5 linked regions of the Nothobranchius furzeri genome follow. The protein of the gene in region 4 interacts with the protein of the main gene of each other region in a biochemical or structural test. Links are inferred from orthologs where the notes say so. Each region holds a gene or a part of one and is shown on either strand. Other genes may lie near its edges. The genes, in order: skp1, uxt, pink1, fbxo7 and cdc34b.

Region 1 (5,156 bases), on a different chromosome or scaffold from region 4:
TCACTGTAAATGAATAATTTTTAATGATCTGCTGTTCTTTCGCTCAACAGTTGCTGCTTACTTCATGACAATCAGCTGTTTTGCAAACACAAAATGATTAAAAACTGACACGAATCTCTCTTACGTCTCGGCCGTGATGCATCACTAATGCTAACCAAACCACTAAATCATGCGAGAACAACAACATCCCAGCAGAACCGCAGATTTTTAGAGAAATTTGTTTTTATTTTTGCTGCCAATGTCACAAAAAGTTCAATTAAGAGAATAAACCACTTGTTTTCAGGCACTTTTAGGATTTTAATCTCCAGCTTCAACCTTTTTTGTTTTTGTTGTTTTGTTTTTCCTATTTTTGTCGATGACTTGTGAAATTTTTAGTCGGATGTTTGTTTCTCCTTTGACCATTCCACACATTCTGCAAACTCATCTGAGACCAAATGGGTACTATAATATTATGTGTTGTAAAGTTTTATATTATAAATAAAATTTTGTATGTTTTTTATGAAAAAAATGGTAAATTACTTTTTAAAAAGTTTTTTTTTTCTAAAAATGTGTTTTTTTGTTTTTGTTTTTTTGGAGTCAAGTGTTACTGCAGCAGCATTCAAACTATATCTGTGCATGCCTAAACTTTGTTACATTTCTGAGGGTTTTATATAAAAGGCTTTAATTTACTGTCTGCTTGCAGCTTCCCAACTGTGGATAAAATGTATGCTGAGTTGTTGTCTTCCTCCAGCAGAGGGTGCCCTTATAATACAAATCTGTGCTTTTCTATTCGGGGCATTCAGGTTTGAGGCACACACACACCTCTAAGATGTCTTTGTATCTTTGAACTCCTGGTGTGTTGTTTTTGTTTGATGTAATAAAAGTGTTTGGAATATCTCTGAAGACTGCAAACTTAAAATTTTAAGGATGATTTCAAAGTAAATTTAAAGAAAAAGAGCCAAAGAAACAAGAAAATGTAACACATGCTCTCTGAACAGGTTTTATTTACTCCTTCAATGTGGATTTCCTCAAAGTTTCCAGTGTCAAAACATGAATCTGGAACTCGCTCTGCATGATGGACATCGTTCCGCCTTCAAACTGCTCATTTTTATACACAAGTTCACAAAACCGATACATTTACAGAGCAAAAACAATTCACCCTCCTGTTTCCATCGGCAAAAAAGTGAAGGTTGTTTAATTATCTAAAAGAAAACATTGCCATAGAAAAAAGAACAAGGATACGAAAAATGTAGCTTTTTATGTTTTAGAGGGAAATACAAAGCCATGAAACCATGAATATAATTATATTCATGAGTGGAAACGGTAACAAGCGTTTCAGCTTTAAATTAATGACACCATACAGGTCAGAATTAAATGTTCATGCTTTTATTGGTACACAGAAATAATAAGCTGGGGGATGGTAATTATACTAAAATATTAACAAGTATGAACATCGCCAGTGCAACCAGTTACAGATCGTTTCAGTGTGGTAGTGTTGGCAGCATCTTCCCTTTTACTTTTCTTCACACCACTGGTTCTCTTTGCGTACCTGTGGACAAAAAGCAGTTTAAAAGCTTTGTTTTCCTTGAGCATCACTTTTGAGGACTTTTTTTTTTTTTACCTGGGCTTCCTCCTCCTCCGTGAAATCGTTTTTGATGTTGAACGTCTTCCTGATCTCCTCTGGGGTTTTGCCTTTGATCATATTGGCCACCGTCTTGCAAGTGACGTCTAACAGGCCTTTGATGTCCAAATAGTTGGCGGCCTGAACAGAAAATAAATGACATTCGGATGTGGAAGATGCTGTGAGATGGCACAAATGCCTCTGATGAATAAGTAACTTTAATGTCTAATATAGGAACTATGAATAAAAGTTTTACATCAGTAAAGCTGGGCCAGTTAGCGTTAGCATGTTAAATACAGAACTATTACAGGGTAACTGCAGGTTTAAGGGAGTCAAATTTAAGACTTTTTAAGACCTTTTTAAGGCCACTTTGACCAAATTTAAGCTATATTTTAAAATTCAATTTCTGCTATAATTTCCAGCTATTGCCTGGAACCGGTGCTAACCACATCGCGAACGTGGGATTAGCCATCCAATTACCATTAAACTTGCACTTCTCCATGGCGTAAGCTCCCACTAGCTTAATCAGCTAATGTGCTCATCTAAAACTAGCCCCCTTTCACAACCAACTGAATGTGTACGGTTCCGCTTACGCCAACATTGTACACAAAAAATGCTGAACACTAACTGGAAATTCACGAAAATGTCATAGAAATGAAATAATCTAGTTTATTGGGTCTTTGGTAATTTAAGACCTTTGGAAACTGTATTTAAGGATCATTTGTCATTTTTAAGGATTTTCAAGGCCTTAAATTTGGAAAAGTAAATGTAAGACTTTTTAAGGACCTGCGGATACCCTGCATTATCCAAATCTGCTTCCACTTCATTAACAAGGAACTTTTTATACAACTTAAAATCAGCATCTGTCTCTTTTACTAGATGTTGCTAAGCAACATTTGTGTTTTTGGTGATCAAATCAGACCACAAAAAAGACAGAATTAGGGATGTCCCGATACGACACCGATTTCAATACGATACCAGCACAAATCATACTTTTACCTATTCCGTAGTGTGGAATGTATGAAAGGCTTGATGAAGTGATATTACTCAATCGGAGAACAAGAGCCAATAACAGTAAGTATGAAAAAAAATTTGACCCTTTTTTTAAACCACTGGTCGCAAAAATGTGAACCTTAACAAACTGCTTATATTGGAGATTTATGATGCAGTCCGATATAATCCAATAGTGTTTTTGGGCCGATAATGAATTGCTTCTGATATCGGAATGGGACATCCCTAGACAGAATACTAGTGATGCACCGATATCATATATCGGCGATATGAAATTTTTTGTGCCGATACCGATATTGGTCGATATCGATATACTGGCATTAATGCTTCTAAAATCAGCAGATTTTGTATAGAATGAAAATTATAAATTATTAAAGCTGGATTTACATTATTATGTACACACACCACACACATTTATGGTTCTGAAATGATTTCATTCACTGTTCACAAGACTAAATTACACATCACCCTCTGAAACAGGCAAACAAATGGGGACAAGATGGAAAAATATCGGTTGTTAATATTGGCCTGGTTTTCTTTATTGAACAGATATGTTAAAAAATAGCTAACATCAGCCGATACCGTTATATTGTCCATCCCTACAGAATACCCAATTACACAAAACTTGACAAAAAAAATTTTTTTTAAAATAATCATCAAACGAGGACGTTTGAAGTAACGGGTGTAAATAAAGATCTGGATCGGAGTTAAGAGAAAACAAGCACTTATATCGTTTGAAGAACATATTCATGGGGCTTTGGGACATTCTGACGTGTTTCTGTGTAACACATCAGTTTTTATCTTACTTCTTGTAGACAGCTTCCTGAAGAGCCTCAGTTTGAAGAAAGTGTTTACGTTTTAACTAATGATGTGCTAAAGCTAATCCAAACACAAGTGGATCGCTAACGTCTCCAAGCTCCTCTTATAAACTACATTTCAAATCAGTTCACATGAATAATTATAGCTGTACAATACAAAATAAGTTGCCTTTTTAAACACTTATTTTATTTATAGTAATGTTTACAGTGAGCGCATTTTAGGCTGAGTGTTATGGAGAGCTGCGGCGAAGAGGTCGGCTGCCAATCAGAATTTGTAGCAGAACTATAAACTATGTGTAATATTTGCAAAAACAACAACTTTTCTGGTTTTGCCTGACCCAAACTTCTAATAATGACCTAAAAACAGAGAGGACATTTTTTCCAGTTGATTCAACCTCAAGAGTTAAGAATTCTGCTGAGGGGTGAAAATCTGTTTAAGGGGTGCGGGAAAAGCATCAATTTCAATGTAGCTAACGCATTTAGCAGCAAAATAAGAATAATGTTTAATGAAACATATTTACCAGAATGAGTTCAAACAAGGTGCCTTGGTCCACTTTGAGGAACTCCTGGTCCCAGACGGGAATGTCGTCCGTCCTTTTCTCTTTGTTCTCATCATCCTCGGGAGGAGGAGGATCATCTTTGTGATGAGTGCACCACTGAATCACCTAAAGGGGAAAACATGTTTATTCTTAACTGAAACTACATAATTTTATACATTCGTGTTAAGATTTACGCAGACAGAAACATGTGCACAACATTCCCCCGTGATGAAGGAATTTTGAGATCTTCTGCTGAGGTGCATCTACACGTACAGTTTTACCTTTATCTGGATTAAAGGAGCGTGTCAGTTGATTTGGCAGGACAGAACATAACAAAGACAGACTGAGCATCCTCTTAATAAGTTATATAGGGCTGCCATGATTAGTCGACTCGTCACAACATCAACAAACAAAATACTCGACTACTAATTTAATAGTGGATGCATTATTTATTCTGTGACCATTAATTTTAATCTCGCCTGCTGCGGCACATTCGGCGGTTGCTTCCTGACTTTCTGCTCAATGCACATGCGCATTAGTCCCCATCCGGGTCAGTGGCTGTTTTCAGCTCCGAGGCGCATTCGCAGTAGTGGCCATCCAGATCAGCCTTCGTCACCGGAGAAAGAAGACATAGCGAGTCGGCAACATAGCTCAAAAGTTTTGGAGTATTATACATAGACTAAGGAAAGCACATAGTGCAAACTCTGCAAAGGGAAACTCTCCTTTCACGGGAGCACATCGGCGATGCATGAGCACCTTACAAGGAAGCACGTCATGGCAGAGAATAAAGAGTCGCCTCTCTAAGTTTACCTCTTTAGCTGCTAGCATCAACAGAGAGTTACTTGTAGTTATAGGTGTAGCAACAGCAGTAGCGGTGGCTATTTTTATTACCATTAGATCACGTTTGTATGTCACGTATTTTTGCTCCAATTACAAACGATAATGATTTCATCCCGCTACGCTACAGTGTTAATAAAAATGCTCCTCTTCAATGGACGAGTTGGTTACGTGAACACCTCAGCAAGCTAACGTCCTGACCATGTTGGTCATGAGACTCCTGTCCATGGTCGGTGATCGAGGTTTCAAAAAGATGATCAAGGATACCACGACAACTACCTACCAGGCTGATGCCCATTCACCAGCATGATGGAAAAGAAATACGAAACAACCTTTAAGGTGTGCGCGCGT
Region 2 (5,999 bases), on a different chromosome or scaffold from region 4:
CAAAATAAGACCACATCTCGTTGAAGGACGAAAATAAAACCCAGAAACGAGAAGGATGAAGCAGCATTCATGTGAGGCTCATCAGAGGAACATCTGGGCCACGTCTGCTCCTCACCCATCACATCACATCTGGGCAGAAGTTCAACCCAGGAAGGAATAAATGAATGGATAAATAAATTATTCAATTAAATAATCCCCCCTCAAACGAAACACCTCTAAAATAAATATTTATGAAGACCGTAAAAGAAGACATTTTATTATGAAAGGAATAGCATTATAATTTCAAGCGTTCAAATTATTTTATAACATGAAAGTAAATTAATAACAAGTGAAAAGTTTAGAAAATCAGACTTTTTAAAATTCCAAAACCAGGAAGATATGAACTCTATAAGCAAAGATGAAGCAAACTTGATGAATGTCAGACACATCATCACAAATAACATTAATAATAATAATATTAGTCATTGCTGCTGTTGTTGTGCAGGTAGAGGTACTTATCAGAATAAAAGGACTCATTCCCAGACGTGTTTCTGTGTTTCAGGGAAATAAAAGCTGGATTCTGGATCCGAGCAGCAAACTGAACACAAAAGATGCTCCTTTCTTTCTCTGATTCAGTTTCAAGAGTCTCTCAGCACCTCTATTCGGCAGCTCGTTGTCATGGAAACAGGCTCTGCGTCGTCGAGCTTCTGTGCGAGCAGCTGATATTCATCACACCGGATGAAGGTCGTGAAAGCTGACGAGCTCGTGCAGCTGACCACCCGTCAGCCTCACAGAGCTAACACGTGCTGGTCACGCATGACTCTTCGAGCACGTTCCCGTTCTTCCAACGCAACAAACCCGCTAAACGTCTCAGCGTTCCTCAGGAACATTCCGACAAATTCCTTTCAAAAGTTTATATTTGGTTTTGAGAGACAAATAAACCATAACACCGGGAAAAGATCTTAAAAATAACAAAAAAAGTTCACTTTAAATCTAAATCAGCTTGTTCAAAAAGACAAATAACACTTTTTAGGTCTAAAAATATTATTTATTATAAGAAGAATGTGTGAATGATTTTATTCATCAGGAAATGAAATGTTGGCAAATAAACAACCAACAACTTTTACCCATTTAAGCCTAAAATATATGATATTATTTTATTACAATAAATCCCAGAAAGAACTAAAGTAGAACTACATCCAATAAAAAATATACACAAAAACTAAAGTTTGACATAAATAAAACAAATCCAAACTAAAAACCTCATTATTAATAAAATATGAATGAAAAAATGAAAATACATGAACTTCAGTTTAGTATTTTAATCAGGAAAGACTCATGACTGCTGTGATGTTCTTCAAACATCTGAGGAGACCTTCGTCCTGCTGTCCACAAAGCTCCTCCCAGGAAGAGGAGTTTCCTCCTCCCCCGGAGGTCCAGCCCCAGCAGCACCTGCTGCCCAGAACCAGGAAAAGTCTAGAAGACGTCTCTTCTTTGGCTCTCGGGAAGGTCGGTGAGTCCCTGCAGCTCCCGCAAACCCTGAAGGCAGAGGAAGAAGATAGCAGCCAATCAGACACCTCATCTGGAGGATCAGGGTTCTCCGTGGTTCCACGATGAACACATCTGATTTTAGAGGAGAACGTCCCTCTCCATCAGCACCAACTCACCTCGACGCTACCGGACCGGCTCTACTTCAGATCTTACCGAGTCTCTGACTCGCTTTGACTTATAGAAGATCAAACACTCAGCAGAAAAACTCAAATCAAATATTAAAGAGCTTCAGATCATAGACATAATAACTGACCTCAAGGACCATGCGGATGTTGGCTTTTATTTTGGCGGCGTCTTTAGTGAGTTGCTCTGTGAAGCTGCAAAACAAGCGTTAGCATGGTTAGCATCTTTGGTTCCGAACATTGAGCTAACACAGCACTCGTTCAAACTCCCTCAACTTTATTTAGAACTAGATCTCAGCTCGACAAAAATGAGACGTGTGACAAAAAGTTTGTGTTGTCACGGCAACACAGAGCTCACACTGTCAGCTGACTCGTCTTCTTGGTGATGAACTGCAGAGCTTCATCGTGGGTCATTTCCACGAAGAACCCGAAACCGACCGCCACGAAGATCCTGGACGAGTCGTCTCTGTCCAAAGGAGGGGAACAACGGGTCAGAACCGGGACCAAACACAACCAAACTGCTCAGAACCAGAACCAAACATCTAAAAGAGGTTAAATGTCTGTGGAGGGAGGAGCTGGACACTCTAGAGAGACAGACACTCACACTTGAGCCTGAACATAGAAGCTGCAGCCCAGATCGACGTCTGTCTTCAGCTGCTGGGACTCCGCCTCCTGCAAGAACACGGAGTGACATAACCGCAACGTCATCATCATGATATAAACATATATAAATATATACACACACACAAAATTCTATCACAAACAAACAGGCGTTTCTGATTGACAGCACGAGGCCTAAAGAGCTCAGGTTACTGGTCTGTTGTTGGATCGGGCCTGAACAGAACTCCTGATCCAGAACACACAGCTCCGCTGGATTTTCATCAGCAGTTAAAAGGTTTCCAGAGATTAAAACATGGCGGATGTTAGCTGAAAATATTTCAAACAACTGAAAAAAATCCTAGAGGAGGCCCTATGATCCTCCCAGAGTGATGCCTCCCTCCTTAAAATCTCTCTCTCTCTCTCTCTCTCACACACACACACACACATACACACACACACACACACGCACGCACGCACACACACACACACACACACACACACACACTACCTGCAGACTCTGGATCGTGTTCTTCAGCTGCAGGTACTGGGAGATCTTCTCATAAACCTGGTCTCTCTGCTCCAACACCTTCCTGTCAAACAGAACACCTTCATCAGTGTGTGTGTGTGTGTGTGTGTGTGTGTGTGTGTGTGAGGTGTCAAAATAGAGTATTTGAAATGAGTTTGCAATCATTTTCTGACTGTTCTATTGGATAAGAACCACACCAGGGATCCGTGGTTCTCCAGGACCCACTCTCTGGTTCTCCTTCACTGGATCTTTTTGGTTGGTTCTGATTCCACAGACCAGAACATCATCCGACTCTGTGGACTCACCACCGCAGTTTGACTTTTGTTCTGGTCGCTCAGATGAAGCGTCAACTTCTCTAGCCGGATAGACCCCGCCCTCTGGGGGGCTGCCATGGTAACCAGGTACCAGTCACTGGTCATAGTGATTGTCACAAATGTGTTTAATACAACTTTATGATTTACGTTTAAAGAACTTAACCTGTACTATAATGATCGTGTCTGTAGAGACATAAACATCGCATCAAAACTTAACCGGAAACTGCTTAGATTCATCAGAACCCAGCACCAACTTTTATTTACCTGCTTCAAGCTAGAGCTACCAACCCTGCCCTAACTAAACCAGGATCTGTGAAACTACTCAGAATTCAAAACCAAACAGAGGAGCAGAGCTGAGAAACTAAATCAACTATACGAGTTAAATCGTACCGTAAATCTCTCTTCAGAACCTCGTTGATGAACGTTTCGTACTGCAGAACCTTCCGGTCCACGTTTTCAGCGACAGGTTCCTCCATGCAGCTTTTCAGATTAATAACAACAATAATAACTTCATGCGGATTAATTCAGTTCAGATGAATTTCTGCTCAATGTAAATTAACCGTTTCGGACACAAAAACGTGCCGTTAGCACAGCTAGCATGCCAAGCTAGCATGTAAATAATTCTTTACACCGGAACTAAATCATTGAGTGCCCCCAAATTTTCAAAATAAAGCATGTAGACATAAAACAGATAGATGCATTAGACGAAGACGCTCCAGACTGATTATATATATATATATATATATATATATATATATATATATATATATATATCAAGACTCAAGACAACTTTATTAGTCCCCGAGGGGCAATTCGAGACAGCATTGTGAAGCAGCCGGCACTAAAATCTCTAAATTCTAAAAACACATCCAAATTACACATTTGTAAAACCCATAAAACCTATATACACATTCATGTCATAACCCCATACATATATATTTATATATATATATATATATATATATATATAATTTATTTATTTAATTTTCACTTCTGACTGACATGTGAGTCTTTTCTAGCTGATTTGGATCTGTGTCGTGACTTCCGTTGTCACGTGACCGTAGCTAACGCAGCTCTTGTCTGAAACAAAACGTTTTCAAACGTTTCAGGCCCGAAAACCGGATCTCCTCGCCGCGCTTTCAGGCTTGAACGACTATCAGGAAACATTTCTGCTCGAATTGAAATTATTTCGACGGTTTCATTAAGCCATAGGAGCTAACTTAGCTTAGTGGTGACGTTACCATGGCAACACGAGTTAGCATCCTCTGTAAAATTCGGATCCAATTGAAATCGAGCTGATTTATGTATAATCTCAGAACCCGAATAAAACTTACGACCTTTATTTCAGTTATCGTTCCGTAATATTTCAGAAACGTTGGTGTTTTATTGAACTGAAACGCGCAAAATCGTAAACGGCGTCTTTTGTACACGGAGCTTTGTTTCCGGTCTGAATTCTGGCTCCTGTCGGTCAGCTGGAGGAGGTAAAAGAAGCTCTGGGAGGTGTTTTCTTTCTCAAAAAGAGGTCACCTATATCTTATTTAGTTTAATGTTACAGCTTGAAGTTTTAATGTGGAATCAGATGAAAAATTGGTCTTCCTGCAGAAATCAGCAGACCGGATCAGGTTCTTGTCCCAGACATGGAGCAGTACAGCATCCAGGGTCGGATCGGAGAAGGAGCTCACGGCATTGTGTTCAAGGCCAAACACATTGAGGTACCGATAGCAAAAGATCCAGCCTCTGGGTCTGGTTCCAGGTGCAGAGCAGTTCCTCCTCAGAATGTTCGTCTTGTGCCTTTTCTCTCAGACAGGAGAGACGGTGGCTCTGAAGAAAGTGGCTCTGAGGAGGCTGGAAGACGGCATCCCGAACCAGGCTCTGAGGGAGATCAAGGCCCTGCAGGAGATTGAGGACAACCAGTATGTGAGTGTCCCTCCAGCTGCTTCTGCCCAGTTCAGAGGACAGCGAGGTGTCAGACCTGATGCTACTGAAATGCCACAAACTGGTGTTCGTGATGGTGTCAGAACCACAGTCCTGAATCCACCTGATCTGCAGGCCATTCCTCACAAAGCTATTTGCCAAATTAACAGATTTCCATGATTTTACGTTCTCTATTCCTCCTTCTGAGGAGACGAGGAGGAGCATCACAGAGATCTGGGGGGCTGGTAAGTGCCTGGTTGCCCAGATCTGCTGTTGGTTTTAAGTCTGAGCAGAAATCTGGTTCCATTACAGCACCACACCTGGTGGACCCTCGGTGCTCAGCTTCAGCTGCTTTGATAAAAAAAACCTGCAGATGTTTTGTTGGGAATGATTCAATCTTCCTTTTGGGAACGTTGTCCTGAACTCTTCCAGGTTGTGAAGCTGAAGGACGTCTTTCCCCACGGGACGGGCTTTGTTCTGGTCTTTGACTTCATGCTGTCGGACCTCTCTGAGGTCATCAGGAACCACCAGCGACCTCTGACCCCGGCACAGGTCAAGGGGTACATGATGATGCTGCTAAAGGGCGTGGCCTTCCTGCATCGCAATAACATCATGCACCGGGTGAGTGCACTGCTCACACACACGCACACACACACACACACACACACACACACACACACACACACACACACACACACACACACACACACACACACACACACACACACACAGTCCACGGCCCATAAGGGTTTGTGATTCTGGTTCTGGTGTGTGTGTGTGTGTGTGTGTGTGTGTGTGTGTGTGTGTGTGTGTGTGTGTAGGACCTGAAGCCAGCTAACCTGCTCATCAGCTCCTCGGGTCACCTAAAGATCGCCGATTTCGGTCTCGCCAGGCTGTTCAGCGATCAAGGCGAGAGGCTTTACAGCCACCAGGTGGCCACCAGGTAAGCACAAGCTCCGCCCCTTTTTCACAGCTCGGTCACACAAAAAATTT
Region 3 (5,555 bases), on a different chromosome or scaffold from region 4:
GACAAAACCGGAGTTTTAAGGTCCGCAACGTCACTTTCCGCGACAAAAAAATCCTGACATCACGTGTGCGACCTGTGTTTACACTAGCCGACAGCATGGATGCCCTCAGAGCTGCGCTCGCTTTATCAATTGTCCAAGCGCTTTTTGCTTGTTTGTTTTTGCAAGAGGAATTACTGCTCCTTGCGGAAGACCACAGACGAAGGACGAGGTTAAGAACGGGGGAAGTACTGCCGCCTACAGGTCTGGCATGTCCTTAACAACGAATTTATCCGGGTACGTGTGGACAGTTTTTTTTTTAAACGAGGTGGTGTGGATGCAAGTTTTTGGAGGGGCGGATATTCGTTTAAAAAACCCGGCTACGTGTGGACTAGGCCTAAGTCTCTGGGTGACACCATATTAGATGCTGTGTTTCCTTCTACGGGAGCCCGTAGAGGACAATATACATTTAATGATTTGTAACGAACAGTTACAAAACTTTTACCATTCATAAATGTTATTGCTTTACACATTACCTCATCACTCACTGCCAGTGATGAAAGGGAGTCTGATGTGCTTATTTTGCTGGAGGCTGCACTCACAGAGATTTTTGACCCTAATGGCCATCTGTTGATAAGGTCTTACTCAAACACAAAACTACAGCTTGCTTGTGATGACTTAGGTATGTATTGCCACTTATCGCCAGGGAAAATACACGTTGTCACTTTAAGAGTGTAATGTTAGCTGTTTTAAAGAAACTGCTTCATTTTAAACTAAATACCAGCAAAGACTCAATAGAAAATCTGCCCAGGCACTGAAAGATTGACGACCTTGCACTACTTATGACACGTATTCATAGTGTGACCTCACACTGAATGACTCAGCTACTATCAAAATGATTGGGTTAGTCATTTTTGTGTTTTCTAATATTATGCAGCTGTGGTGGCCATCTTGAATTGGCTTCATTTGAAATGCCAATCAGCAATAATTGATTTCTGACTGTTGCATTAAAATCCATCCAGTCCTCCATAAGATATTTTGACACACAAACCAACAAAAACATCATCACCAACCAAAACTCAAAATTCAGTCAAATTCATTGCAAAGGTAACAAAAAGCTGAAGGGTGCACTGAAATCAAACATTAACCATAATTGGAGATAATTGCGTTTGAAATGATTTTATTCTGAAATTCAACCTTTCTACATGTCCAAAAATATTTCCAACAATCTTCAATGTACCAAACTATAATTACAACATGGATTTGCATCCCAAACTACTGACGTACAGCTGAAAATAACCATATAGTGCAGTAAATGAATCTGTCTTTCTAGCGACGGTGAAATGGTTGCTTTTCATTTATAACACATTTAAAACACCAACTATTCTTGAATACAATTCTAGAAAAATGCAAACAGGAAAACGGAGTGCATTATTATGCATGGTCAGGGGCGGATCTACAAAATTATTTATGGGGTGGCAGAAGAGGGGCAAACATTTTTCTAGGGTGGCCATTCATATATATATACACACACACATAGATAGATAGATAGATAGATAGATAGATAGATAGAGATAGAGATAGAGAGAGAGAGAGAGAGAGAGAGAGAGAGAGAGAGAGAGAGAGAGAGAGAGAGAGAGAGAGAGAGAGAGAGAGAGAGACGTTTTCCTTTTTATTTTCCCAGGATTTGCATATTCATTTGTTTTGGGTCCTCATTTAATAAGCTTAAAGGCCCATCATGAAAATAAAACACATAATAAAATTATGTCCTTCCTACAACAGCTGAATGCGGCAGTTTCCATGTTGCTCAGCAAAACAATTTACACATTCATCAAGGTCCAAAGATTTTGCCCGTTTTGATTCAATGCTGAGTACAGCCTAGCTTCATAGTCTTTTCTCTGTCAAAGGAGACTGCAAATAGGTCTTTATGAGCCAGACAGTTGAAAAACGTTGATTTTTCTTGAATTTATAGCTACCAGCTGGGGTGGCAGCAGCGGTAGCAAGGCTTTCTTTTAGGGTGGCAACTGCCACCCTATGCCACCCTTATAGATCCGCCCCTGTGCATGGTACTAATGATCTATGGATGTTTTACCATGACTTCATCTTTGTTAAGCATGCCGAACACACGTTACGCAGAAACCTCCTAAAACCAGCTCTTTGGAGAGGGTTTCAGATGTTGCACCTGCAGGTAGCTGACCTCACCCTACCCAGTAGATCCTCACAAGTGTAACATGGTTTTAATTTTAAATATCTGCATTGGTCACTTCCACACTGTGACAGACCTGTGTCTACAAATGTGCATGAGAGCTTTCAGGAGACAGGATCTACTCTTAACCACCAGCAGCCATTTCTACTCTCATTACAGAATTTTTAGTTTTTTTTTTTAAATTAACAAACATCTCAGTGATAAATTAGATTTTTAAAGATTAGGTACTGAAATTTTTATTCAAAAACTAAAGCAAAAGGGAAGAATTGACCCGTTTTGGAACATCAGTTACTTCCAAAAGCCTTTGATATAAATTTATGTTTTTTGTACTTTTGAATACAGATGTTACTCATCTTTGTGTGGGATTAAATTTAGCCTCTAAAGGTTTGTTCCAGACTTCCTCTGACCAGATTTCCCTTGAACAAGTGGCCAGTTGGACTTGGGTGTCCCTGCAGACGGCTCTCGCACATTTAGACCCAGTAGAACTCTGGATCTCTAAAATCATTCCCTCCCAGCTGTCCTTTGTATAAAGTTCCTCCTTGGTGACGTCTTCTGTTAGACCTTCACAGACTTTCTCACATGGGTCATCACTCACGCATACACCCACACCTTCTGCATGATGTTGTGTTCCAGTTAGCGTGAGATGTTGCTCCATCTGGCTGGAAAACAGTCATTGTGAGGATACAAACTATGATGGAGAGGGAGCAGTCCGCTCGCTCGCTCGCTCCCTCCCTCCCTCCCTCACTCACTCACTCACTCACTCACTCACTCACTCACTCACTCCCTCACTCACTCACTCACGTGAAACCAGGCTGAACAAATCCAGAACCCCGTTCTCTGACTTTCAATAATAAATTTGATCCCATACAAAAAAATCCAGGAAGACCTGGAGCTGTCATTTTCAGTAAACGTGTAAAATTTCTGTGTGCTATAAAAGGTTTTCGAGCTAGCTGACGCTGAAATCCGGCCTTTCGCATGAGCGTTAAGCTACTGCTCATTCATACAGCAGCTAAATGTTAAATCAAGCACAACAAAAACACAGCAGGTATCCACCCATAGTTTAACTACCAGCGTTTCTTTTTGAGGGTCCGAGTTACGGTTTGGACCGGATCTACGCTGACAGAGAGCAGCCGCGGCGCTGCTCCCAACCATAGAGGAGGAAGCCCATTGCGGTGCGCAGCTCCACCAGGTCCAGATTGGACAGAAAGCTTCTCTGAAGCTCCGCCTCCACCCCATTCCCACTGGGTCCAGCACAGCCCTTCAGGAGAACCACCGCAGACTGGCACAGCAACCAGTCAACGAGTTTCTTCGTGCCAGCACTGTCCTGACTGGCCAAAACCTTCCGACCCCAGAGGCTGAGATGTAGCATGTTAGCCGCTACACGTGCACTGGGCCGCTGAGGAGGAAGAACAGAGGCAAACAGAGCTAATCATCAATTAAAAACAAACGCTTCCAAGTGTAAGAGATCAGTTTATAACTGGACCTATCCTGCTTTACCCGCTCTGGGTTTCTCCTGAGAAGTAATTGTATCACCAACTGCACATCAGCTGGACTTCTGGAAGGAAACAGAGGAAGCTGTTTCTCCTGGTAGTCGGTGCTACGCAGTCCCCCAGCCTGATAGAACGGGTTCTGCTCTCCAAGTATCTCATAGGAGATCGCCCCAACGGCCCAGGCGTCCGCCTTGCTGTAGTCAATCACCACACCGCTTCCTGGGACTGCGGTGACCACCTGATGAGACAAATAACCCATCACAGCAGGTAAAGACACACCGCCTCAGAGAAATCCAGGAACAGCCGGAGTGTTTGGTGTTGTGTTCAAGGTGGTCCACACGGTTCGGCGGGTCTGATTTGTTCGTTAGACGCCTGCAGGTACACCTGGAGTCGGCCAGGCTGGAAGTGTCGCTGAAGGTGTTTTATGTTTTTAAAGGGGCATTATGGAAGTGTGACAGCCATAACATGTATAGAAATAATAAATGTCTTCTTCATACTTTCTCCTGCAATGCCCTGGTCCTGTAGAATGAGCCCTGGCATTTTTACTGTGATTGCCTGTTTTTCTGTAAAATCACAGAAAAAGAGAGATGCTCGGGTCGAGCAGGCTGCTTCATGCGTGTTCACGCTCAGGCATCGCCCGTAGCATTTGCTATCCGTAGCTTTAGCAGCAGAGAGAGAGGCAGTGCCACTTTGTCGCTGTTCCTAACGCCTAGTGACAAAGCTAGCTACATTTCTGAGCACCCTTAGCTACTTCCTTCTAGATATTTCCTGCAAATTAGCAACAAAATAGCCATTTTCGCTCCGAACCGTTCTTTGAACGTTGTTTCAGCTGTCATCAAGGATATAAAAGTTACAGATACAAAGGATGTCATTGGCATTTTAGCTCACCTAGTAAGACGTCGGACTCTCGTGCCGAAGACCTGGGTTCGATTCTGGGTGTGATCATAGTTTATTTTTTACATTAATGGTATATTTTTTTACAGTAAGATGCCCAAATTTTTATTTGAGACTTGGCGAACGGCATTGAATTCACAGATAAAAAAGATGTGGGTTCAACTTTCATTTTGGAACAATTTTTCAAGCAAGGGAAGGGAATGATCTGAGCATGCAGGAGGACTGACCCATCATAAACCTTTGTCGGCTGTGCTGAAGAGAAAGGTACAGAACCAAATTATTTAATTAATTAGCTGTGCGTTCTCCTGTCCTCCCGGCTACACACACACACACACACACACACACACGGGACTGTCTCAGCTGTTATTTTCATTAAGGAGTGTGCACGTACAGCATGCGTGCACGAGCCTACTATTGAAGCTGCCGTTATGCTTTTGGCCTGAGGGGGCAATCGCGAGCATAAAAATTCAAAACGCCGTAAAGTCCCTTTAATGAAAACTAAAGTTTAAAGAAAATAAGCATCGTTTCAATTAAAATCTTAATTCCTAACTAGCCTGTGCTGTTTTCTACTCATACTAATTTCACGTGTTTCCACGTTAATCAAGAACTTTTCCAACAGATCCCAAGCCCTTGAGCCAGTAAGTTTTGTGAGTAATTCTCAGCTCAATATAATCAAACCAGTAAAGTTGGAGACATTTTTCTGTTTGCTGATCTGACCTTAGGAACTAAACAGCTAAAGCTGGCTCTGATCCTGATAAAGAAGAGGTGAAGCGTACCTCAGGAGCCATGAGCGAGATGTTTCCTCCTCTGCTGACACACAGGCTGCTGAAGGGAAGCTGTAGGCTGGAGCCACTCTGAGCCAAACAGCAGCCAAAGTCAGTAATCACTAAACGAGGACAACCACCTAGAAGAATAAAACCCAAACAAAATCATTTTAGTGCAACAGATAGAAACATGGCGTCTAATGGAAGCTTCGTGTTTTTAAATCC
Region 4 (5,993 bases):
ATTTGTACTTTCGTTTTAATTCCCCACAGACAGAATTAGTTTTATTATTCCCAACATGTGGATGGAAAGATTTGTTTTATTGTTGTTGTAAATAAACCCGATCATCATTTTAACTTTTAAATCCCGTTATTGTCCCTTCATTTTTGCACACGAGCCAAACTCCCCAGGAAGGGTCGTAACACCACTCGCCTCACACTCATAAGTGACCAAAACAAAGCAGCATGAAGACACTCCATCTTCTACCACCTCTCAGGCAGCAGCCTGCACTCCCACGTTCTACATGTCACCAGAACATAACCAACCAACACAATAAAAGCAGTGTTATACAAGATGGAAGGCCTGTAGTGTTTATTCTCTTACAGTAACCATTTATCAAGTTTTTTGAGGAATTTATTTGAGATTTTCTGGTTTTTAGTAATTGTGCAATAGAAAAATAATCGTTAGATTAATCGTCTAAATAATCATTAGAATAGTCGACTATTCGATAAAATAATCGTCAGAATAATCGTTTTAAAAATAATCGTTTACCCCCAGCCCTAGTTCACAGACATCCAGACCTTAGAAATGAAATAAAATCAATATTAAAGTTTAAAGATCAGTTATCTGTGGACACTTTTCTACTTGATGTAGTCCAGCTGAAGCAGACATCTGCTCATTTCTAACAGAGCTGAGCTGTGGGAGAACATGTTCAGGTTATTTAATCTCATTTTCCATCAGCTGTGGAATATACCTAACATTAATTATAAACTATAAATAACAGGTCACTACAGTCTGAGCTAGAACGTGTTCCTAGGAGCAGAAGCTGGTTGGGTTTGGGTTGGCAGCAGCTCACCAGTGCCTGACAGGAGAGCTCCTCTCATCAGCAGCAGGTGATCTAGAGTGACACCAGCCCAAAAAACAACAACACTGAACTCAACCGGGCCATCGGGAATTTCCCCAGTTGGGGCCTGGTTCCACCCGCCGTCCCCGTTAGACAGGAGCTGCTCACGTTAGCTCTCATTGTGACACCAGAGCTGGGCTCCATTAGTGCGACTAGCTTCTACAACGTTTAAATAAATAAACGCACAACTTCTGTGGCTCGTGTATAAAACCATCTACTCCAACCCCAGAGTGTAGTGGTGTGGTGGCAGAGCGCTGTTTTGGTGTGGGGGGTTAACAAGCGGAGGGGCGCCTAATCACTGATGTGCTTCTCTCTTATTAATGATATAATTAGCAGATACACAAATGGACAAGAACACGGCTGTTATTAAACAGAGGAACGTCAGACTAAAATGTTCTTGCATCATTGCTTTGGCGCCCCATGTGTCGCATACACTGCGTACCCACTTTTGCGTCACTGTGAGCTCACCTGAGTGGCGGTCTGCTGATCGTCAGTTATTGGGGCTGTGGAGCTGGTTTCCCCTGAGGTCACGGCGACTGCTGGAGGCTGCCGGAGCAGCACACAGATCAGATCTCCAGAAACGATCCCAAAGGAAGACAGGGTCTGACCAGAGTCCAACAGAAGCTCAGAGCCGTTCAGAGACAAGCTGAATTCTGTGTTCAGACTGAAAGGAGATGAAGAAAACGGAGCATTGAGCCGTTGGGACACACGCTGGTTAAGAGACAAGAAAAAGAGAATAAATGGATCCATCCGGAAGTCTGACCCAAGTCCAGTAGAAGTCAGCAGTGTCTGCTTGATGACATCTGAGAGTTCTGTGAGAGTGGGTTCTTCTCCAGGTAAGTCCACCCTGCTGGTCTGCTTGTTGATCCGGACCCGTAGCTTCATGTTGTCTGAAATAAACAAAACACACCGGCTTCCGTAAGATCACATGACCTCTACTTACATAAAAAACATGTTCAACTTATAGCAACTGAACTTTAAACCTCAGATTCAGGATTCCAACCAAAATCGGTTCTTATAGATGAATAAATGCGCCTAAAGCACAGAATGTTTACATGGGAATGGCACCAACTTCTGTCCACACCTTTAGTCACACTCCAACCTCCACCATGTAAGAGACTCACAGGTTTATCCAAAAAGCTTACGAACAAAGAAGTGTCATGAAAATCTGTTAGATTACGGTTCCAATAATAATAACGAAATAAGCACGCACGACAGTGCTGTAAAATAAACGATCGCTTCTGGAAAATGACGATTTCGTTTTCCTTTCATATCAAACGTTTCGTATTTGCTGCGTAGCACGAGACAAGCTAGCTAACTAACCTGGACGGGTAGTTAGTGAAACCTGCGGGTTATCTTCAGAAAGTCCCAGAACTTCACAGGTAAACCGAGAAAAGCTCACATTATAATAGAACATGAAATTCTCTCCTATCAGTGAAAACGAAACATCGGAAACTGAAGAGACGTAATTTCCGCTTCGACTTTTCAAAATAAGACCCAGAACAGTTTAGCACCTCTCAACATAAAAATCACGAGGAGCTTCACAAAAAAATTTAATAAAATTTAAAAAGTAAAAAAAAAAGAATAAAAATATGTTTAAAATTAAAGAAAAAAGTAAACATTATATTAAATATATAATGGAAAGGGAGAGAGAAATTTTATAGGAAAGAGGGAAATCAGTGGATTCCAGGAAAGGCAGAATAAGAACAAGGTGGTGGTGTTGAAGGTCCCACCAAAGCCTTAACGGGTGAGTTTAAAGGAGACCACTGAGTCCACTGATCTCAGGCTCAGGGGGAGAGAGGTTCAGAGTCTGGGGGCCACAGCAGCAGATGATCTGTCACCTTTGGTCTTTAGCCTGGTGCTCCACAACCAGTAGGCTTTGGTCACTGGAACTCATGGACATGCTGGGGGTGTAGGGACTAAGATCACCAATGTATGTGTCACAGTTTGTCTTGTCTCCCCAGTTTCCGTTCAGTTCTGTGTCCATGTTAATTGCTCCCACTTGCCTCTTGTCTTCCAATCACTCAAGGTCCCAGCTCCTCATGTATTTAAACTTTTAATTTAATTAAATTCAAGTTTATTTATATAGGGCCTAATCGCGACAAGAGTCGTCTCAAGGTACTTCACATAATAACCATTCCAATACAGGTCAATTCATTAAGCCAATCAGAAAAAAGTTTCTGATTCTGTGGTTACATTGTGATGTCTTAGTAAATATTCTATTTGGTGAGAGATAAACTTTATTGTATTTATCCTAGTGGATCTATAATTAAACGGGTAAACTAGTAGTAGCACATCCAACATCAAAGAGAGTAAAAAGTTATCAGGAGAGGGAGAATGTTTAAGTGGTTAGCAGCAGTGTGCTAGACGATGGCCCCCTCCATGAGGCCACCACAGCTCAGCAGAACATCATTGTAGCTTCTTCTGGGGAGAAAAACACTTAGAGAGAAAATAAAGTTAACAGCTGAAATAGCAGGAAGTAATACAGTTAAAGGGCAGATTGTAGAACAAAGTAGGTGAGTGTGGAAAGTGGTCATTGTATCCTCCAGCAGTCTAAGCCTATAGCAGCATAACTACAGAGATAACTCTGGATAACCTAGCCTTTTTAGAATGAGGCATATTGGAGGCAGGGCAAGGGAGAGCCGTCTTTACCGACTGTACACTCCACCTCCCTCTACTCCCCCACTTGTCCTTATTTAGGCTAACATCAGATTTTAACCATAGGCCCTATCAAATAAAAAATGTTTTAAGCCTATTCTTAAAAGTAGACAAGGTGTCTGCCTCACGGACTAAGACTGGGAGCTGGTTCCACAGGAGAGGAGCCTGATAACTAAAAGATCTGCCTCCCATCATAATTTTAGATATTCTGGGAACCACCAGTAGACCTTCAGTCTGAGAGTGAAGTGCTCGGTTAGGAACGTATGGAACAATCAGATCACTGATGTATGATGGAGCTTGATTATTAAGAGCTTTATATGTGAGAAGAAGGATCTTAAAATCTATTCTGAATTTAACAGGTAGCCAATGTAGGGAAGCTAAGACAGGAGAGATATGATCTCTCTTTTTAATTCTCATCAGAACTCCAGCTGCAGCATTTTGGACAAGCTGAAGACTTTTAACTACATTCTGTGGACTTCCTGAGAGTAATGAATTACAGTAATCCAGTCTTGATGTAATAAATGCAGGAACTAGTTTTTCAGCATCACTCCTGGAAAGTATGCTTCTCATCTTAGCAATATTCCGAAGGTGGAAAAAGGAAATCTTACAAACCTGCTTAAGGTGGGATTTGAATGACATGTCCCGGTCAAAGATAACACAAAGGTTCCTTACTTTGTTCTCGGAGATTAATGTAATGCCATTCAGGTCAGGTGATTGACTAAGCAATCCTTTTCTGAATTTCAGGACCAAAGATGAAAACTTCCGTCTTGTCTTGATTTAAAAGCAAAACGTTTTGAGTCATCCAATTTTGTATGTCCTCAAGACAAGCCTGTAATCTACCCAACCGATTAGGTTCATCAGAGTTAATGGATGAATATAACTGGGTATCGTCAGCATAACAGTGGAGATTTATCCCATGTTGTCTAATGATTTTACCAATTGGGAGCATATATATAGTAAAAAGAATTGGTCCAAGCACTGAACCCTGTGGTACTCCACAAGTAACCCTGGAGTATGAAGAAGATTTGTCATGTACATTTACAAAATGAAATCTGTCAGACAGGTAGGATTTAAACCAGCCTAACGCTGTTCCTTTGATCCCTACAACATGTTCAAGTCTTTCTAAAAGAACATTGTGATCAACTGTGTCAAAGGCAGCACTGAGATCTAACAAGACTAGAACAGACACAAGATTCTTATCTGAGGCCATGAGAATATCATTTGTAACTCTCACTAATGCAGTTTCAGTGCTGTGATACTCTCTAAAACCAGACTGAAATTCCTCAAACAGAGCATTAGTGTTTAAATGCTCACATACTTGGATGGCCACTATTTTCTCCAGGACTGTGGATAAAAATGGAAGGTTAGATACTGGTCTATAATTCATTGGGTCATCTGGATCCAGAGAAGGCTTCTTAAGTGAAGGTTTGATTACAGCAACCTTAAAATCTTGTGGTACATACCCATTTACTAAGGATAGATTGGTTACTGCCCCCATTCTAGATGTAATCAAAGGAAATGCTTCTTTAAATAATTTGGTTGGGATTGGATCCAAAATGCAAGTTGAAGGTTTAGATGAAGCTAATATTTTTGATAACTCTGAAAGCTCAACTGGATCAGAACGGTTCAAGCACAGATGAGGTTCTACAGTCACCTCTGATGCTGCCTCACTTACTGAGGAAGAAGAAATCGCATTAGGGAGGATGCTTAAGATTTTGTTTATAATAGAATTAATTTTACTTGTAAAAAACCCCATGAAGTCATTGCTGCTGAGGGCTAAGGGAATAGATGGTTCAGAGCTATGATTCTGTGTAAGTTTAGCAACTGTACTGAAAAGAAATTTAGGATTATGCTTATTCTCCTCAATTAATGCTGAGAAATAAGCAGTTCTAGTTTGTTGAAGCTTATTTTTATAAAGCACAAGACTATTTTTCCAGGATAGGTAGGCGTCCTCATGGTGCGTAGAGCGCCATGTTCTCTCCAATTTCCTAGAGTTTTGTTTTAAGGCTCGTAGATGAGGTTAAACCAGGGAGCCAACTTCCTGTCCCTAATTACCTTCTTTTTTAAAGGGGCAACATCATCTAATGCCACACGTAAAGAGGAATTAACATGATGAACTAAGGCATCAATTTGTGAGGGGCTAGAACTGAGAATATTGCCCTCTGCTACATGCCTCTGAGATGCTGAGGACAGTAAAGATTGAACAGTTGCTTTAAAAGACGCAACTGCGTTGTCAGATAGAGACCGACTATAATGAAATTTACTTTCATGTCTCGAGAACTCAGTTATAAAAAACTCAAAGGTTATCAGAAAGTGGTCCGAGAGGACTGGATTATGTGGAAAGATCGTTATTTCCTCACACTCAATGCCATAAGTCAGAACAAGGTCCAATGTATGATGGCAGGAGTGGGTGGAGCTATGTATTCTTTGAGTAAAACCAATTGAGTCTAAGATA
Region 5 (5,998 bases), on a different chromosome or scaffold from region 4:
CGTCTCCAGTGCTTTCATCATCTCCCTCTTGTTCTTCCTCTCAGTTTTCTCTTTGATTGCTCGGCTCTCGCAATCTGACCCTGAACTCTCAGATGACTCGGAAGAACTGGGGCTTTGCCTCCCTCTGTTCCCATCAGCCCTATCTCTGCTCCTCTTACTCCTCCCCCTTTCCCTCTCCTTGCTCTTCCTTCTCGTCCAGCTTTCGTCCCTGTCTTTTGTCCTTTCTCTGTCTCTGCTGTTGCTTCTCCACCGCTCCCTCATCTGTCTGTCTCTGACTGGACTGTTTCTTCTCCTCCTCCTTTCTCTTTCTCTGCTTGCATCACTTGAATCAGAGGCAGACTGGGACCTTCCCCTTCTTCTCTCGTGGGATCTACTGCTGCGTTTCTCCATCTCTTTCCTTCTCCTTCTCATCTTGGAATTATCTGAATCAGGACTGAGACAAAAATAGAATTTAGTGTGAAAATTAAATGAATATAAACGCATAAATTATGACTAGTATCAAGAGATCATTTTATAAGCCTTTTACAGTGTTTAACACCTATTCTATATATAATCTAGGAGTGTTTAATGATCTATTGGATTACAACGGTTTTTATAATTAATCAAAGTAAAATTCGTTTCAACCTGCTTCTAAACAGTTACATGCAGACATTTACTGTAAATATAGTGTTTAAAAACACCTGTCGCAATAACCACCTGTGGGTTACACCCACCCACCACCTATAAATATGACTTATTGGAGGAAAGATGATGAAAATCTGCCAATCTCAAGCGACTCTCTATTCTGAATAATAGATCACAAACAAAAATATATTTTGACTGTGGCGACTTTCTTCATTTTTTGCGCTGCGTGAGTCAAAAACAAGTTAATGTGTGAATCTCAAGTTGGACGAGTGAAGCTTAACTAACAGACACAACCTTTTATCGTACTGTAACATATTGTGTTAAAATTACCTCGATGCACGATCCTTTGATTTGCTGCTGTGGCGCGGCGCTCTTCGACATCTGTCCCCCTCCGATTCACTCCTGGACCCTGATCGGCCCCTATGTTGAGGTCGGGCCCGAGAGCCATCGCTCGAAGCCTCGCTGCTGGATCTGCCTCGACCCAGTGTGGTCCTTTTCGGGCTCGGAGACCTGTTGCGACCTCTCCTCTCATCTGGAGATCGCGACCTGTTTACTCTGGACTTGTTTCGGTGATCTCTGCCCCGACTTATGGACCTGGAACGAGACCTACGCCGTGTTTTCGAACCCATCACGAACTTTCTTCTTTTCGGGGCCCTAAATGCAGTCTGTCGCGTAAATAGGAGGCATTGACGAAACACTGTTGATTATAATAACGTTTACAATCGCACTAATAAAAACATATGTCTATGTTTAATGTTCGCATACTCTAACGTGTGCTATGACAGAAAAAATTACGTGTCAGATTTCTTTTATAAAAAATCCAAATGTATTTAGTAAGGCAAAGAAAAGCTAGCCTAAATGGGCTTTCCTGAGCACTGGCGCAGATTAAAACGTCACAGCCACTTAATAAACTACAAATTAGCCACAAATGAACGCAGGATTGTTTTTCTTACAATTTAGTTATGTCGGTGATAAAATACTATTATTGATGTCATAGATATTTCGTCCATAGTAACCGCTACCGTATTTAAACAGTTTAACAGGAAAATGCAAGCACAAACAAACTTATTTTTCTTTTTGGGCATTTAAAATAAAAATAAAAACATCATAAATAAAAAGAACAGGAATTATATTATACCAGGGTTTTCAGTTATTTTGGTTTCACGTTTTTTTAATCTAACAAACGCGGAATGAAAGACTACCAGTCCCAGCCAACAACAGGGCGCCATTACCTGTTTTTACCAGGGGACTCTTTCAGCAACACATTTCCTTTCGCAGCTTTCTATGAGGGCTAAACAATTATGGTTACTGGAGGTATAGTTTGGCGTAGTGTCACATGACTTTTTGCGTTTGTCTTTTCAAATTGCCATTTTATGTAGTTATTTTGTGTTTTTGCGGTAATTACGTCGCTCCAGCTGGTCAATTAGACGGAGCTTGTTAGCTTTCCTTAGCTAACAGTAGATTTAAGGCTTATATCAGCTGCTGCTCTGCCAGGTAAATCAGCCAAAGCTGTTGAGCCTCTCAGACACAATGTGTTTCTCGTTTATAACATTACTGAGTTTTGACATTAATAACGTTTAATTTGGGAACAGACCAACCGCAGTCTTTGTTTTGCTTTTACGCGCGGTCGGCCTGTTTTCTTTGCCTCCGAACATCGAAAAAGGAGAAGTTGTGCTGTTTGCTGGCTTGGCTAGCTTAGCCGTGTAAACAAAAGCTGTCGCCTCCAGATAATCCTGAAAGCTTCATAAATCATTATGGCGCAACACGACCCTTCTCATGTAGCTAGTTCGCAGAAAGCTCTCATGTTGGAAATGAAGAGCCTCCAGGAAGAGCCTGTGGAGGGATTTAAAATCACTCTGGTGGACGAGGCTGATTTATACAACTGGGAAGTCGCCATTTTTGGTCCACCAAACACTCATTATGAAGGGGGATATTTCAAGGTAAGGTTGTAATTAAAATCAGATGACATATAAGAAATGACCGTAGTTTAAAAAATAACAAGATGTCCCCATTTTCCCCCCTAGGCAAGGATCAAGTTTCCTACAGATTATCCTTACTCCCCTCCTGCTTTCCGCTTCCTAACCAAAATGTGGCATCCCAACATCTATGAGGTTAAATATTGACGTGTGTGTACTCATAACAGTGTATTTAATTTGAATGAATGCATCTGATGATGGAATGTATTTGTTTCCCCTCTTGTAGAATGGAGATGTGTGTATTTCTATACTGCACCCTCCAGTGGATGACCCGCAGAGCGGAGAGCTCCCATCAGAGAGATGGAATCCAACCCAGAATGTTCGGTTAGCATTTCTCTTTCTAATCATATTCTCTCTATACGTTTCTCCTTTCTGGTCTCCTTCCATCTTTGTCCACTTTGCAATCACTTCAATGGTTCACCCAGCGCAGACTCTTATCTTATGACATTCATTATCAGCAGCATCTTCTTCACCGGCTGCAGCAGCCAGCAGTAAAGCTAGATCTGCATCTTCCTCTTATTTACAAACAAAATTAAATTGATCTTTGGATAATATCATACTATGCAAACTAAGATTTTGTTGGTTTATTTCTATGAAAAACATACTTTGAGTACCTTAATTCATTGTGACTCACAATAAGTGTATCGCATGAGTTTGACAGCATTTTGCTGCAGAAGAGGGAGAAAATGCATCTTTATTTATTATAAACTTCCTTCTGAGGTTATTTGTCAGGCTCACATTATGCAATCTGTGCACAAAAAAATGTATCTTTGATCTTTTTCTGTAACTGAGAGCCAGATTTCTATTCAACAAGAAACTATCTATGTAAAAGCCACCACAACGATGTCACACTCACAAGTGATATTAAACCTGTGATCTGTAGTAGTCGAAATCACACAACTTCAGCAGTGTTACAAAGATGTAAGCTCTGGTGGTTTCGGTCACTTGATGCAGTGCAGCTCTTATGTTTTTGTTGTTGCAGGTGGTATACCGTTAACCTAACCTAATTTCCTCATTTGCATTTTTGCTGCAGACACATTAGATCTGTAGATCAGGAAGTCTGTCACAAAGGCTGTTCCTTTGGCCACAAACAGAAGCAGCTTCTTTCTGTTTCCCATAACGACTCACTAAAACCTTACTCACAATGCTACGTTTTATAAATGTAATGTAAAGGCTTGTCAGTGCGCATTGTGCGCTCTGCTGAGAAGGTGATTGGCTGCAGCCCTCCATCTCTCCAGGACCTGTACGTCTCCAGAACTCGGGGGCGTGCAGGCCGGATAACAGCTGACCCTTCGCACCCGGGTCACAGACTTTTTGAGCCGCTTCCCTCAGGCAGGAGGTTACGGTCCATCCGGACCAGAACCTCCTGCCATAAGAACAGCTTCTTTCCATCTGCCGTTAGACTTGTGAATAGATTATAAACACACAACCATGCTGGTCTTCTGTACTCGACACAACGTCACGTTATCGGCCATGTTACCATTACCTGCCATTTTAGCTGAAAGTTTTATTCTAGTTTTTTTAATTATTATATTTTATTCTATTTTATTCTATTTTTAATCTTATTATTCATGTTATATGTAGCACATTAGTGCCGAAGCAAGTTCCTAGTTTGTGAATTGTTTGTTCACTGAAAATGGCAATAAACCTATTCTGATTCTGATTCTGGTAGGGTGGTAGCACATGGGTCTGACAGGTTTTTTTAATACATGTTTTATCAATTAGCTTTAAGTTCCTAATGTAATATGTGCTTCATTGTTTATTCTAATAAAATAGTAGATGAAATAAGTAATTTAGGCTTGTGACATTAAAATATTTTTTATGTGTTTAAAACTTTTTAATTCACCTAAAGTCGTTTTCTTATGGTTCTATACTAAGTTGCCTTTGTTTTTTGCTTCTAGGACCATTTTGCTGAGCGTGATCTCGCTGCTAAATGAACCCAACACCTTCTCCCCTGCCAACGTGGACGCCTCTGTCATGTACCGGAAATGGAGAGACAGCAAAGGCAAGGACCGGGAATATGTAGAGATCATCAGGTAAACATTAGTGTAATGTTATTTAAGACAAACCTCAAATATTTCTAAAAGATTTTCAAAGCCACACCATCCACACAAAAGTAATTCAGTCTTCATAAAACAAATCCCTTCAGGAAACAGGTGCTGGCCACAAAGGCAGAAGCAGAGCGAGATGGCGTGAAGGTGCCCACCACGCTAGCTGAATACTGCGTTCGTACACGCGCCCCGCCGCCAGACGAAGGCTCTGACCTCTTCTATGACTATTACTATGAAGACGATGACGTGGAGGGGGGAGACGGCGACTGTTGCTATGACGAGGATGACTCGGGCAATGAGGAGTCGTGACATTCTTGTTGTCAGAAAACCCAACCTAGCTGACGAATGCTCATCCTTTAACTCTTCCTGGGTTGCCAGATATTCTTGGTTTGCAACCAAGAGAGATTGGAAGCTTCCTTCTAAATCAGTACAAGAGCTTTTTTCCTTCAGCCTCAGAGGTTAAAACTGATGCCTCGTTGCGAGAGGGTCAGACTGTGGTCACTTTTGCACCAGCACAGCCACCAATTTTTTTTTCCAACTTCGAGAACTTTTCATCACACTGAAGCTTACTTTGCTCACAAAATCCAGTCCTGGTTTTAGTATGAAATATTTTTGGTTGGGTTTCATGATCACTGAACTGGTGCAAACTCTTAAACCATCACTTCACCTGTTTTGCATAGCTGTATTTCTCTAATTGTAACTGGGGGTGTCTCACTGGTTGTCCGCCTCGTGGTGGAAACTTTTACAGACTTCAAGATGGACAAAGGACTGCAAGTGTCCCATATTTTACAGTTTCTGTCTTTGATTGGCAGGACATGGAGGAGTTTTCATGGACAGTATGTTCAAAGTTCTCATGCATGCCAGAACTTCTTTGAAAGCTTTTTGTCTTTTTATTTTTATTTTTTAAATTGGTGGACTGTTTCCCAACGTCATGAGAGACTCGTGGCAATGGAGGGCCGTCCCGTCTGCTGGAGTCTGCTGAGTCAGCTCCTCATATGAACATTCTTACTAAAACATGAAATTGATCTCTGCTGGGTTTTTATCTTGGATGTGTTTTTCTGTCACTCAGTGTGGGGTTGTGTTTTTTTGAATGAACTTGTTATTAAAGTTGTGTAATAATCAAGTTGTTGAAGGTTAGAGGGGCAGAACTAATTATTGATTAGAATTGTATTTCTCCTCAGCGTTGCTCTCTGAGCCGCCTGATGGACCCGAAGAACTAAAGCAGAGTGTAAATTAAATTTTAATACGCTTTGCCAGATGTTTCTCTTTTTGCTTTCTTGCAGGCCCTATGATTTTAGTTTTTCTTTGTTAGATGTTCGGCATGCACTGGAATAGGTAGTCTTGTGT

The links.
Region 1: the proteins of fbxo7 (region 4) and skp1 form a complex in vitro, tested with the Homo sapiens proteins (3 studies listed by BioGRID). The link is inferred for Nothobranchius furzeri from reciprocal best matches to the Homo sapiens genes FBXO7 and SKP1.
Region 2: of the proteins of fbxo7 (region 4) and uxt, one has a biochemical effect on the other in vitro, tested with the Homo sapiens proteins (2 studies listed by BioGRID). The link is inferred for Nothobranchius furzeri from reciprocal best matches to the Homo sapiens genes FBXO7 and UXT.
Region 3: the proteins of fbxo7 (region 4) and pink1 form a complex in vitro, tested with the Homo sapiens proteins (2 studies listed by BioGRID, with this or other methods). The link is inferred for Nothobranchius furzeri from reciprocal best matches to the Homo sapiens genes FBXO7 and PINK1.
Region 5: the proteins of fbxo7 (region 4) and cdc34b form a complex in vitro, tested with the Homo sapiens proteins (2 studies listed by BioGRID, with this or other methods). The link is inferred for Nothobranchius furzeri from reciprocal best matches to the Homo sapiens genes FBXO7 and CDC34.

What each region holds. Positions count from the first base shown.
Region 1 is NC_091750.1:60,005,488-60,010,643, forward strand, and holds the end of skp1 (S-phase kinase-associated protein 1), read right to left. Parts: intron 4,095-5,156; coding exon 3,951-4,094; intron 1,742-3,950; coding exon 1,601-1,741; intron 1,529-1,600; coding exon 1,493-1,528; 3' UTR 966-1,492; downstream 1-965. UniProt on the Homo sapiens protein: Essential component of the SCF (SKP1-CUL1-F-box protein) ubiquitin ligase complex, which mediates the ubiquitination of proteins involved in cell cycle progression, signal transduction and transcription.
Region 2 is NC_091755.1:47,133,878-47,139,876, reverse strand, and holds uxt (protein UXT), read right to left. Parts: upstream 3,747-5,999; 5' UTR 3,569-3,746; coding exon 3,483-3,568; intron 3,180-3,482; exon of another isoform or gene 3,157-3,179; intron 2,843-3,156; coding exon 2,761-2,842; intron 2,325-2,760; coding exon 2,257-2,324; intron 2,119-2,256; coding exon 2,011-2,118; intron 1,848-2,010; coding exon 1,784-1,847; intron 1,519-1,783; coding exon 1,456-1,518; 3' UTR 1,287-1,455; downstream 1-1,286. Other genes in the region: cdk20 (cyclin-dependent kinase 20), read left to right, coding at 4,730-4,804, 4,896-5,009, 5,439-5,627, 5,828-5,949. UniProt on the Homo sapiens protein: Involved in gene transcription regulation. Acts in concert with the corepressor URI1 to regulate androgen receptor AR-mediated transcription. Together with URI1, associates with chromatin to the NKX3-1 promoter region.
Region 3 is NC_091755.1:38,774,978-38,780,532, forward strand, and holds the end of pink1 (serine/threonine-protein kinase PINK1, mitochondrial), read right to left. Parts: intron 5,471-5,555; coding exon 5,343-5,470; intron 3,911-5,342; coding exon 3,680-3,910; intron 3,579-3,679; coding exon 3,294-3,578; 3' UTR 1,140-3,293; downstream 1-1,139. UniProt on the Homo sapiens protein: Serine/threonine-protein kinase which acts as a sensor of mitochondrial damage and protects against mitochondrial dysfunction during cellular stress.
Region 4 is NC_091741.1:31,395,972-31,401,964, forward strand, and holds the start of fbxo7 (F-box only protein 7), read right to left. Parts: upstream 3,415-5,993; 5' UTR 2,298-3,414; coding exon 2,204-2,297; intron 2,166-2,203; exon of another isoform or gene 1,965-2,165; intron 1,771-1,964; coding exon 1,644-1,770; intron 1,545-1,643; coding exon 1,349-1,544; intron 1-1,348. UniProt on the Homo sapiens protein: Substrate recognition component of a SCF (SKP1-CUL1-F-box protein) E3 ubiquitin-protein ligase complex which mediates the ubiquitination and subsequent proteasomal degradation of target proteins and plays a role in several biological processes such as cell cycle, cell proliferation, or maintenance of chromosome stability.
Region 5 is NC_091751.1:57,907,459-57,913,456, forward strand, and holds the start of cdc34b (cell division cycle 34 homolog (S. cerevisiae) b), read left to right. Parts: upstream 1-2,378; coding exon 2,379-2,564; intron 2,565-2,648; coding exon 2,649-2,735; intron 2,736-2,826; coding exon 2,827-2,924; intron 2,925-4,501; coding exon 4,502-4,636; intron 4,637-4,749; coding exon 4,750-4,960; 3' UTR 4,961-5,998. Other genes in the region: splicing factor Cactin, read right to left, coding at 1-433, 955-1,253. UniProt on the Homo sapiens protein: E2 ubiquitin-conjugating enzyme that accepts ubiquitin from an E1 ubiquitin-activating protein, and catalyzes its covalent attachment to other proteins by an E3 ubiquitin-protein ligase complex. In vitro catalyzes 'Lys-48'-linked polyubiquitination.